Saccharomyces cerevisiae S288C: one gene and its partners. Changing the gene in region 3 together with the main gene of any one other region gives a genetic interaction. Each region holds a gene or a part of one and is shown on either strand. Other genes may lie near its edges.

Region 1 (2,969 bases), 790 kb from region 3:
CACGATACTGCACTCTTTTTTTCAAAAGAAGGTATTAAAGTTCAGCAACGGTCAGAGTTGAGACAGTTGAACCCAGGAAGTATTGCTGATCTTACTGATCAACAGATAATGGACAAATTTCCATCAGAATATAAAGAATCATTAAAAGACCCATATCATTTTCGATTCCCTAGGGCGGAATCTTACCATGACTTAGCCGTTCGTATGGAACCTTTACTATTAGAAATGGAGCATACGAGCAAGGACATTCTCATCATTGCACATGAGTCAACATTAAGAGTATTATATGGCTATTTAATGGCTTGCACCTGCGTAGAGTTACCAAATCTAAATTTCACAAGAGACAAATTAGTTGAAATTTCATTCAGCCCTTTCTGTAATACTGTAGAGTTACTGAACATTCCTTTAACTAGCTAATATACTGGAGTTGCATCGTTGATGTGTATTATCTATATTCAAAATAGTTATTTTTATGTTTAAGAAAGGATTAAGAACAATTGAAAAAAAATTACCATTAGCAACGAATATTAAATTGTAAATTATTTAGAGATATTTTTCTATAATATGCTCGCCTACCATTCTCTTTTATACAATATTTAGGTTTTACCTGGAGGCTAAAATGATATGAGGGGACGATAGCTTAACATGATTGTGACACAAACTTTAAAAAAGGCTTTCAGTTGAAGAGTTTTCTTCCGCTATAGTCTCCAATGCTATCTTACTTTTCTTATTACGTTTATGTCTACCTTTCATATCATTTCTTGTAAGCAACTCCTGCATTTCCGCTTCCTGGGCAGCCTTGAGTAAATCATATCTGGTAATTTTATCAGGTTTATTGCTCACATATCTGCCTGAACCAACAACGTTGATATATTTCCATGGACATGCTACCCACTCTGCAATAGTGGAAGCTGAATTGATTGTGTTTTTTGAAACTAACCCGATGGGACAATTACTGATCGATTGCATTATTAAAGGTGATAAATAATCCTTTGTTATTTGTGCCCCTTAAAATTCATATACACTTTATGTTTAATTCGACAGGTATAACAGAAAGAAACAAGGAAAACAATGCAATTAATCATTAACTGCACCAACTTTTATATGAATATATTGTGCTACATGTCTTAATTAGTCCTCTGTGAATGAGCATCACAAAGAATCACGAGGAAAAGATTGATTACTTAATATTGATAGGAATCAGCCGCGGAAATGGAAATCTTGGTAATATAATTTTAATGCGGCACGCTGAAAATTGATGGCGGCCTGCTAGGAGCCCTATTGATTCCGCGGAAATAGGCGGATTATTACAAACGTTGAGCATTCAGCAGGTGCGGCTGTGCCTTTTCACTTTCAGCTAAGATGTTTGCAAGCAAGAATTAACAGATAAGCCGCTTCGCTAGTAACGCAACTCATTGTGTTTTTAATGGAAGCTAAGGATGGTTGAAATTATGGGTACCCTGAGATAAGATTATTAACTATGATGTAAGTATTAATCATTATAATAAGGGGTACCTGCTCATTCGCATTACCATACATTGACTATTAACGAGCAGAAAGTTTTTGGAAGTTTTGCAGATGAAGTGCATGTTTGATAATTTGAATATGCGGATTTCCTTATTCAAAACTTTCTTTATGCATAGAGCTAATTAGGTTTGAGTTAAGGAAAAAAATCTATCATAAGTGTCTTGAGGTATTTACTATAATGTATACGGGAAATATTAGGTGTGATAGGCTCTAGGAACGAATATTAATATTGGGGGGGGGAAACTGGAATGAAATTAAACAAAAGCAAAAAAATCTAAAAGAAGAAAAAAAGGAGAGAGAGAGAGAGAGAGAGAGAGAGAGAGAGAGAGAGAGAGAGAGAGAGAGAGAGAGAGAGATGAGGGTTATTGATAATATAATATAATAATAAAAGAGAAGATAGTAGAAAAGGAAGAAAGAAAAAAAAAAATTAAGATGTACTTTAATAAAAAGAGGGAAATTCTAAAAAGTGCGACTGGAATTAGAAGAATGCAGGTATTTTGTTTTCTCTCCTATGACGGAGAAGGTAACAAAATCATAAAGGTAAAATAACAAATTAATTATGATCAAAGAGAAATGCCCTTTGTAAACCGTGGTTTGTAAATGCGTTGGTAACTGCAGCAGATGTTAAGAAACAAAGATGGAAAAGAACCAAAATCAGCTTGTAAGTTCTATCGTAATTATAAGGATAATTGACGCTTCTGTTGCTCTCTAGCCCATCTTGCTGTATCTTTTGTGGCTTGACTGAACAATTGGCCACTCCTAGTTCTTTTAATGTAATCAATAACCCAGTCTTGTCCATAAAATTGTTTGATTGAGCCGTCTGGAAACATCGCTGCTATATCACCAATCAATCCGACTGCTGCTCTTGAGGTAGCATCCTCACTGTACAGCTGAGGATCTTCTGCAACTTGTGCAATGAACTGGAATATAGTACCAACATAAGGGAACAGAGCTTCAGGTTTATCATGAAGACCCGCTACTATACCCACATAAGCATCTAGTACTGCTTCTAGTACTTTTATTTGATAATCAAGGGCTTCTAATGTGCCGTTTTCCGGCTTCGTGTTTTGGGCAGCAACACACAACGCCATGATGTCATTCAAGTAGGGAATAAAATCAGCACCTATATTGGAAGCAATATCACCGAACACGCTCAAGACGGCTGGTTTCAACTCTCTCCTTGCATTTGGATTAGAGATCATTTGAGCCAAGACATTCATCATAGCATCGGAATATCTTCTGAAATCTTCTTCTAACGAATTTGAAATATCAGCGATGAAGCCCACTGCGGTGATTGAAACTGGCGAATCTACTTGATTTAAAGCCTTTAATAAATAGGGAGAAAATGTTTCCAGGTATTTCTCAAATCCTTTACCCAAAGAAGCAGCTAGAGCTGAAATAGCATAAAACACATCGTCTTCAATAAACGCAGAGTCCTTTTT
Region 2 (3,763 bases), on a different chromosome or scaffold from region 3:
TCTTTTTGAGATACAGAAAAACGCTATTCCAGCAGGTTCCAACGTTATCATTGTTGATGACATTATTGCCACTGGTGGTTCTGCTGCTGCAGCCGGCGAATTAGTTGAACAACTCGAAGCCAACCTTTTGGAATATAACTTTGTTATGGAGTTGGATTTCTTGAAAGGCAGGAGTAAGTTGAATGCTCCAGTGTTCACTTTACTGAACGCTCAAAAGGAAGCGTTGAAAAAATGATATGTTTCACGTCCTGACCCATATTCAAGCTTCCTTTCTGCCGGTTTCAAGCAATTTATTTTTCTTACTTCTCCTTACTCTCTCAATTTGGTTGTATAATATTTACTTTTTAGATTGAAAAATATTCAATCCACTTTTCTGCTTTGTGCCACAAAGTAGTCTATTTAGTTTTTTATCTATTATATGCTTTTAAAGAGTTTGGAAATCGAGACCTGCATATGCAATAGTAATATTCAAGGGTCCTTTGATTCTGACTCTAAGCGAGCATTTGCCTCCTGAACTTCTCTTAATGACGTTCCAGGAACAACACTCCAGTCTATCATTTTCTCTCCGCGGGTATTGTATAGCCAATCGTTTATCATTTTGAAATGGTTGGTACCAAAAAATCCTCTACTTGCACTTAATGGAGACGGATGCACTGACTTCATCACCATGATATTAGGGTACTTACTACCGCTTCCAACGGAAGTAGATCCCAACAGAGACTCTACTAATTTGATAGCATTGTTCCCCCATAAGAGGAATACTAAACTCTTACCGTCGGCCTCTCTGTCCTGGATCAACAACTGAACTACCCTTTTTGTAAAAGTTTCCCAACCATGCTTAGAATGCGAGTTTGCATTATGTGCTCTTACAGTTAACGAGGTATTAAGCAATAAAACCCCTTGTGAAGCCCAGTGAGTTAAATCTCCCACTTTATTATCTTCAACAAAATCAGGATACTCTTGCTTCAGTTCCTTATATATGTTCTTTAATGACGGTGGTGCTGGTGTAGGGGGTTTGACGCTAAAAGCCAAGCCATGCGCCTGATTAAAGTTGTGGTAGGGATCTTGACCGATAATCACGACTTTAACTTTATTAAAAGGCGTTAGCCTGGTCCATGAGTAAATATCCTTTGCAGGCGGAAATACTGTATGATCAGCTTGCTCTTTAGTGACAAACTGTTTCAACTTTACAAAATATGGCTTTTTAAATTCATCCATTAAATGTGGAAACCACGAATCATCAATCGTTTCTAGCTCCAGCGACAGTAGTGTACGTAAATTGCTGCTCAAGTTCTTCGAATATACATCTTTTGCATTTGAATTAGCAGGATATTTGTCCGTGTTTGCCTCCTTTGCGACCGCCTTTGTCTCTGTCTTGATAGCTGCGCCATTTGTTATGGTCATGAAAGTAGCGCCCGATTTACCTTTCTTATTGGGCGCCTCATTAGTGCTTTTCTTTGTACCAAAGAAGTCTTCGATCGTAGTTTGCTTTCTCTTTCGAGCCACCGTCATAACTGAATTTGTTGGCAATCTTCTCATGCACCACATGTATGTGAACGGCTTGTGTACAGCTTCTGATAATATATATCATTATGGATGAATTACGCGTTGCGGACACATTCCAGGTTTTGACAATAGGGAAAATATTGAGTTTATATGTAAAGCTTTTTACAAGTCACTAATGTGAACAACGTGAGGTAATTCCATGGAAAGTTCATATAAGAATAGTTCGAAAACTATCTTTTTTATTCCCACCAGTCACTAGATTCGGCTTTATACATATAGTGGGCTTATCACTGCTCTTGGATAGCACTTTTGCACTACAAATAGACACCATTACGAAGAATTGGAAGAGACTTATATACAGAGTACCAGTAGGTAGAATGGTCACGACTCCATTGCATTCCTCGCCGAAAAGCAGTCTGAAATCTTCAACGACCTCACTGCGCTCAGTACATACTCAGTCTGGTCGTATGGGGCCTAGTGAGCCTAAGCACAGAACAACCAAATCCTGGTCTATATGGGGAGGTAATGACGAGGAAGAACCGGAGTTATCTAATAAAAATAAAGGAAAGGAAACCGCCCAAGACAACAGTCAAGAAAATGACAATGTTTCAAATGAGGGAACACGCTTGCACGATAATCAACAAACAACGATTTTAAAGGAAACCACCAGGATCGAGAAGGGTGAGAAGGACAAAAAAGACAGAAATGCAGCTATAGTAGAAAAAAACACAAGACCACGAGCATGGCCATTCTTTTGGGGCCGTAACAAAAAAGATCCGGAGCCGACGCATAACATTCCCACTGATGCGGATAATAACACTTTATCACGTTTAGCAAATAGTCTAAATCCGGCTCCTCTAACCAACACTTACATACCTTATAAACCTGATGCTATATTGATCAGAGATAAAGGTGTCAAAACTGCTAAGAAATTAACAGATGACATAGGCAATCAGTTTCCTAACATTGTTGTACCAAGTTTCGATATTTTACCGAAACAAACCATATGGAATACAGTCACATCCACAATTTGGAAGTGGAAGACTGAATACTGGGATAGAAGACCTTCATCAAGGGTACGAGAGGGGGAAGAACAGGTGCAGCACTCACAAAATCAGTTAAAAGAGGAAACAAACACAGTTGCAAACGAGGCAAAAGATGAGGAGCGGTTGGAACACAACAGAGGATCTCTATTTAGGGTTGATCCATGGAAAAAAATAAACCTTCTATCAGATTACCAATCTAGGCCCATCAGAGTTCTCATTGTCGGCGTTCATGGGTTCTTTCCAACAAAAATTATTAGACCGTTTATTGGTGAGCCAACGGGTACATCTACCAAGTTTGTCACAGAAGCTGAGGAAATAGTGAAGGAATATTTTGATCAACATAAAGTACCCATTGAAATAAGCAAGATCGCTCTTGAAAGAGAAGGAGAGATATTTGATAGAGTAGATTTCTTCTACGAAGTTATGAAGCATTGGAGCAAAGAAATAAACAATTCTGATTTTATTTATTTTGTTAGCCATTCGCAGGGGTGTCCGGTAACCATTATGCTTTTAGCGAAGCTGATCAAAAACGGCATAATAAACCTTGATAATTCTCAATTTTTCAACGATGAAATTCAGTTTTGTTCGTCCAAAAAAATTATCTCGGTCTTGGCCATGGCAGGTATCAATAATGGTCCATTCTACGGTGCAGATCAAACTTTGTTTGTTCGTGCTTACCAGACGATTGAAAAAGACTCATTGAGGGAGTTATTCGAGTTTCAAAAGTTTGATTCCAAACAATCGCAAAGCTTCATAGAAGGCCTAAGAACAATCATATCAAATAACGTTAAGATTACATTTGTGGGATCCATCAATGATCAACTGGTCCCTCTGTATTCATCCACATGTCTTTTTGCCAACCATCCCAATATATTTCGGGCCATTTTTATTGATAGAGGATCACAAACTCCAGCATTTATCACTCGCATAGTTAAAATTGCTGGTTCACTCTTAAACCTGGGTTATAACGATCACGGAATCATAAAGGAAATAAGCGGATCTCTGGCGGGCACCCTGACAGGAGGTGGTCACTCTACCATTTATAATGAGAAACAGGTCTACCATCTGGGCATCAAATTTGCATTAGAAACAACCGATTTGTCCGAAATGTATCCAATTGAGTACTCACCATATAAATTGTCTGAGTTAGGAGCCAACCCCTATCGTCTGCCATGGTGTATGAGGGGATTGATGTACGAGTCCAACAAGCA
Region 3 (3,122 bases):
TATTCATTACAACAAGCTTGTCGTGTGCATTCGATAAATTCATGGCAAAATTTTTCATTTCCCAGTCTTTAGTACTTGGATTAAGTATGGAAGTAAAGGAACCACTTGCGGACATCGATGCAGGAGTAATGTTTCTAATGTCTCTATGTGGGGCATTTTCGATAGTGGGAGATTTGTTAATCCGTCCTGGTTCCACTTCGTAGCTACAAATCGAGGATGAGGCCTTGCATTTGGAGCAAGTAGGCCAAAGTTTATCACATTTGATTTTCCTTTGCTTACACCGCAAGCAAACAAACGATGGCTTAACCTTTTTCTGAGATGCAATGCTCATATCCAGTGCAGTACACTTATCTTGTCATAGATTTCTGATGGGTAAATAATTACTTCACATCATCTTTGTTTCCAAAGTTTGGCCTCAATGTTGCCTTTAGGAGGAAAAAATGTGAAGAATGCATACTTCTGCCGCTTACGTAAAAACAGAACTCTGACCAGAAGAGATAAAAACAAAAAAAAAATAAAGGACAGTAAATATGAAAAATAAGATATTATTATATTAAATTAAATTAAATTAAATTAAACTACGATGGGAGCGTTATGCCAAAAAAGATAAAATTCTGAGCAGACTACTCTCAGTCTTCCTTCTTTTGACCTGCCGCCTTTTCGGCATTAACGTATGTAGTGTAATCAAGGATTTGTAATAATTGCCACACTGACCAGGCTAAGAAGGCACCCAAAAGTGGGCTAATCCAGTAGATCCAGTGGTAATGAGGGAAATATCTGGCAGCAACGGCGGCACCCAGAGATCTTGCAGGGTTGACACCGGTACCAGTGTAACCGGTCAAAGCCATGTGAGCCATGAATAAAGAAATACCAATTGGAAGCGCAGCCATAAAGTTAGTTTCACGTTTTTCAACAGCAGTCATCAAAACTGTTAAACACAACACAGCAGTACCAAACATTTCCAAAAACAACCCCCTAGATCTGGAACAGCCTAAACCCAAAGCATTAGTAAAGAGAACCTTGCCTGGAGTCATAGCACTAGCGGCACCACCAGCAGCCATCCCAGCAATGATCTGAGGAAACCACATCACTACACATCTGGCTGGTGAGATGGCTCTGGCCAAACACAAAGAGAGAGAAACGGCTGGGTTCAAAGCCCCACCAGAAACACCAGATAGAAAACATCACAGAGAAACCGAAACCAAGGGCAATCATGATCAATTGACCTGGATGAGAGCCCTCAGGCTCGGTTGTCAAAGCCACATCATGGTTAGCGACATTACAAATGACGTAAGCACACCATAAAAACATGAAGGTACCGCAAAACTCACCCACAGCAGCGATAAAGTGGTTTCTTAAGGTATCTCTGTCAATATTAAAACGCGAATGCTTCGTTTCCGGCTGTTCAGGTGGAATATAAGCATTGTCAACACCGGTCGGGTCCAAGTGCGAAATGTTTTTTTCAAGGTCGTTAGATTCGTTAGACATAGTATAACTAAGGTAGGCTAGTGTCGCTTTTGAATATTTTCAGGAATTGTAATAGCCAGGAACAAGAAAAAAGACATGCGCACACTAATAAGCTACTAAAACCAACATATTTATACTATCAACCGAGAGAGGGGCAGATATGATTCACGATAAAAAGTTAATAAAAGGATAACAGCGGCGCTCTAATTCGTTAATGAAAGCCATAGTCCGGTATGGACAAAAACTATTTCCTTCTTTTTTTTTTTTAGGTTTTTTTTTAATTTGCACTTGCAATAATCTAATTCACTGTAGGAGTTTAAAGAAAAACATCTAGAAGGATTGGAGGAGGTAAGTCATTATTATGGCGGTGCTCTTTTAGCGGGAAAAAAAAAAATACACCTACGACGTTAAAACAGATCGTGCTGTCGTCTCAGCGGCAGTAAAAGTACTGTAGTAGTTACGGTGCACGCAGATGCAATGCTAATTAAATAATCATGCTCCCATTTTTAAGAAGCAGAAAAAGGCCGCAGTAATTTGAGCCGTGAAAAGATTTCGGAGGGTTGATTCTTAACATTTTCCAAAAAAATGTCCTTTGGTCTGTTTGCTTGGGTCTGAAAAGAAGGACTGCAGCGCCACCTCCACTGGTTAAGGACAAAATCCATACTTATTCCATCTTTCTCGGGACATATTTTCCTGAGACAAAAGACCGTAGAACTTCAAAGACTCGTTCCCAGAAAGGGATTTAGAGTTAATTTTTGCTCGGCATCAAGCCGGAAAAATTCAGGCGCCGCTTAGTAATTAATTGCAAGTAAAGAAGTACCGGATTTATTAGACATCGTCTTAGCAAGCAAATTCCTGAAAGCTAAAACGCAAATAATTAACTAAAAATAGTTGCTAAAGAGCACCTTTTATGCGGTACATAAAAGTTTTTAGTGCCGTAGATATATGTAGATATAGGTGGGCGTAGGATCAGAAGGAGCCGGAGAGAAGATTTACCAACACTGATATTCCTCGAAATACTCTATAATTCTCTCTGGGTAACCGAGGAGTTTTTGAGAAACGGTGTTTCTAACATCGTCCACCAGAACAGGAGGGCCGCAGCACACGACCGCTAATGAATCTCCAGGCGGCGTACTTTTTATTGCGTTTTCAATTACATTGCTAAAATTAGGTCTTGCATTGCCGATGTGGGCGAAGCTTGTCAGTTCGGTCATTATATCATCAAAATGTATTAATTGGTCTCGTGCGTTTGCTGCCTTTGTAACAGCTGTTTTCTGTGTAAGGTAAACCTGCACGTTGACGTGGGATCGGCTATTTTTTAGCTCTAGTATCTCGGATTTATAGCCGTTAAGAAAAGAAGGATTTTTGATCGCCATGATCAAATCTATACTCTTGGGTTTATCAGGGTTTCGTGACAGCTTAATGGCATGATCTAATGGACCAGGCAAGCCTGTTCCTCCACTTAGTAACAGCAAATGGTCGAATTTATCGAGGTGAAGATTACTGGGCCCATAAGGTCCCTCAATGGCCACTCGGAGTTGTAATTTACCATTTAAAGATTGCAAAATATGGTTATAAATGAATCTAGTGAGACCACTTTTAGGTTTGATCACTAAAACACACTTCTCACCTTCGTCGATAATGGTAAATGGATG

Evidence for each region.
Region 1: mutations in YLL053C (region 3) and CIS1 together harm fitness more than expected from each alone (negative genetic interaction), as found in Saccharomyces cerevisiae (one large-scale study listed by BioGRID).
Region 2: mutations in YLL053C (region 3) and YML020W together harm fitness more than expected from each alone (negative genetic interaction), as found in Saccharomyces cerevisiae (one large-scale study listed by BioGRID).

The regions. Positions count from the first base shown.
Region 1 is NC_001144.5:821,624-824,592, forward strand, and holds CIS1 (Cis1p), read right to left. Parts: upstream 970-2,969; coding exon 664-969; downstream 1-663. Other genes in the region: YLR345W (bifunctional fructose-2,6-bisphosphate 2-phosphatase/6-phosphofructo-2-kinase), read left to right, coding at 1-417; KAP95 (karyopherin beta), read right to left, coding at 2,205-2,969. UniProt on the Saccharomyces cerevisiae protein: Mitochondrial protein that is involved in citrinin resistance.
Region 2 is NC_001145.3:229,266-233,028, forward strand, and holds the start of YML020W (uncharacterized protein), read left to right. Parts: upstream 1-1,883; coding exon 1,884-3,763. Other genes in the region: adenine phosphoribosyltransferase APT1, read left to right, coding at 1-235; UNG1 (uracil-DNA glycosylase), read right to left, coding at 469-1,548.
Region 3 is NC_001144.5:34,874-37,995, forward strand, and holds YLL053C (uncharacterized protein), read right to left. Parts: upstream 1,089-3,122; coding exon 630-1,088; downstream 1-629. Other genes in the region: YLL054C (uncharacterized protein), read right to left, coding at 1-331; AQY2 (Aqy2p), read right to left, coding at 1,039-1,488; FRE6 (putative ferric-chelate reductase), read right to left, coding at 2,460-3,122.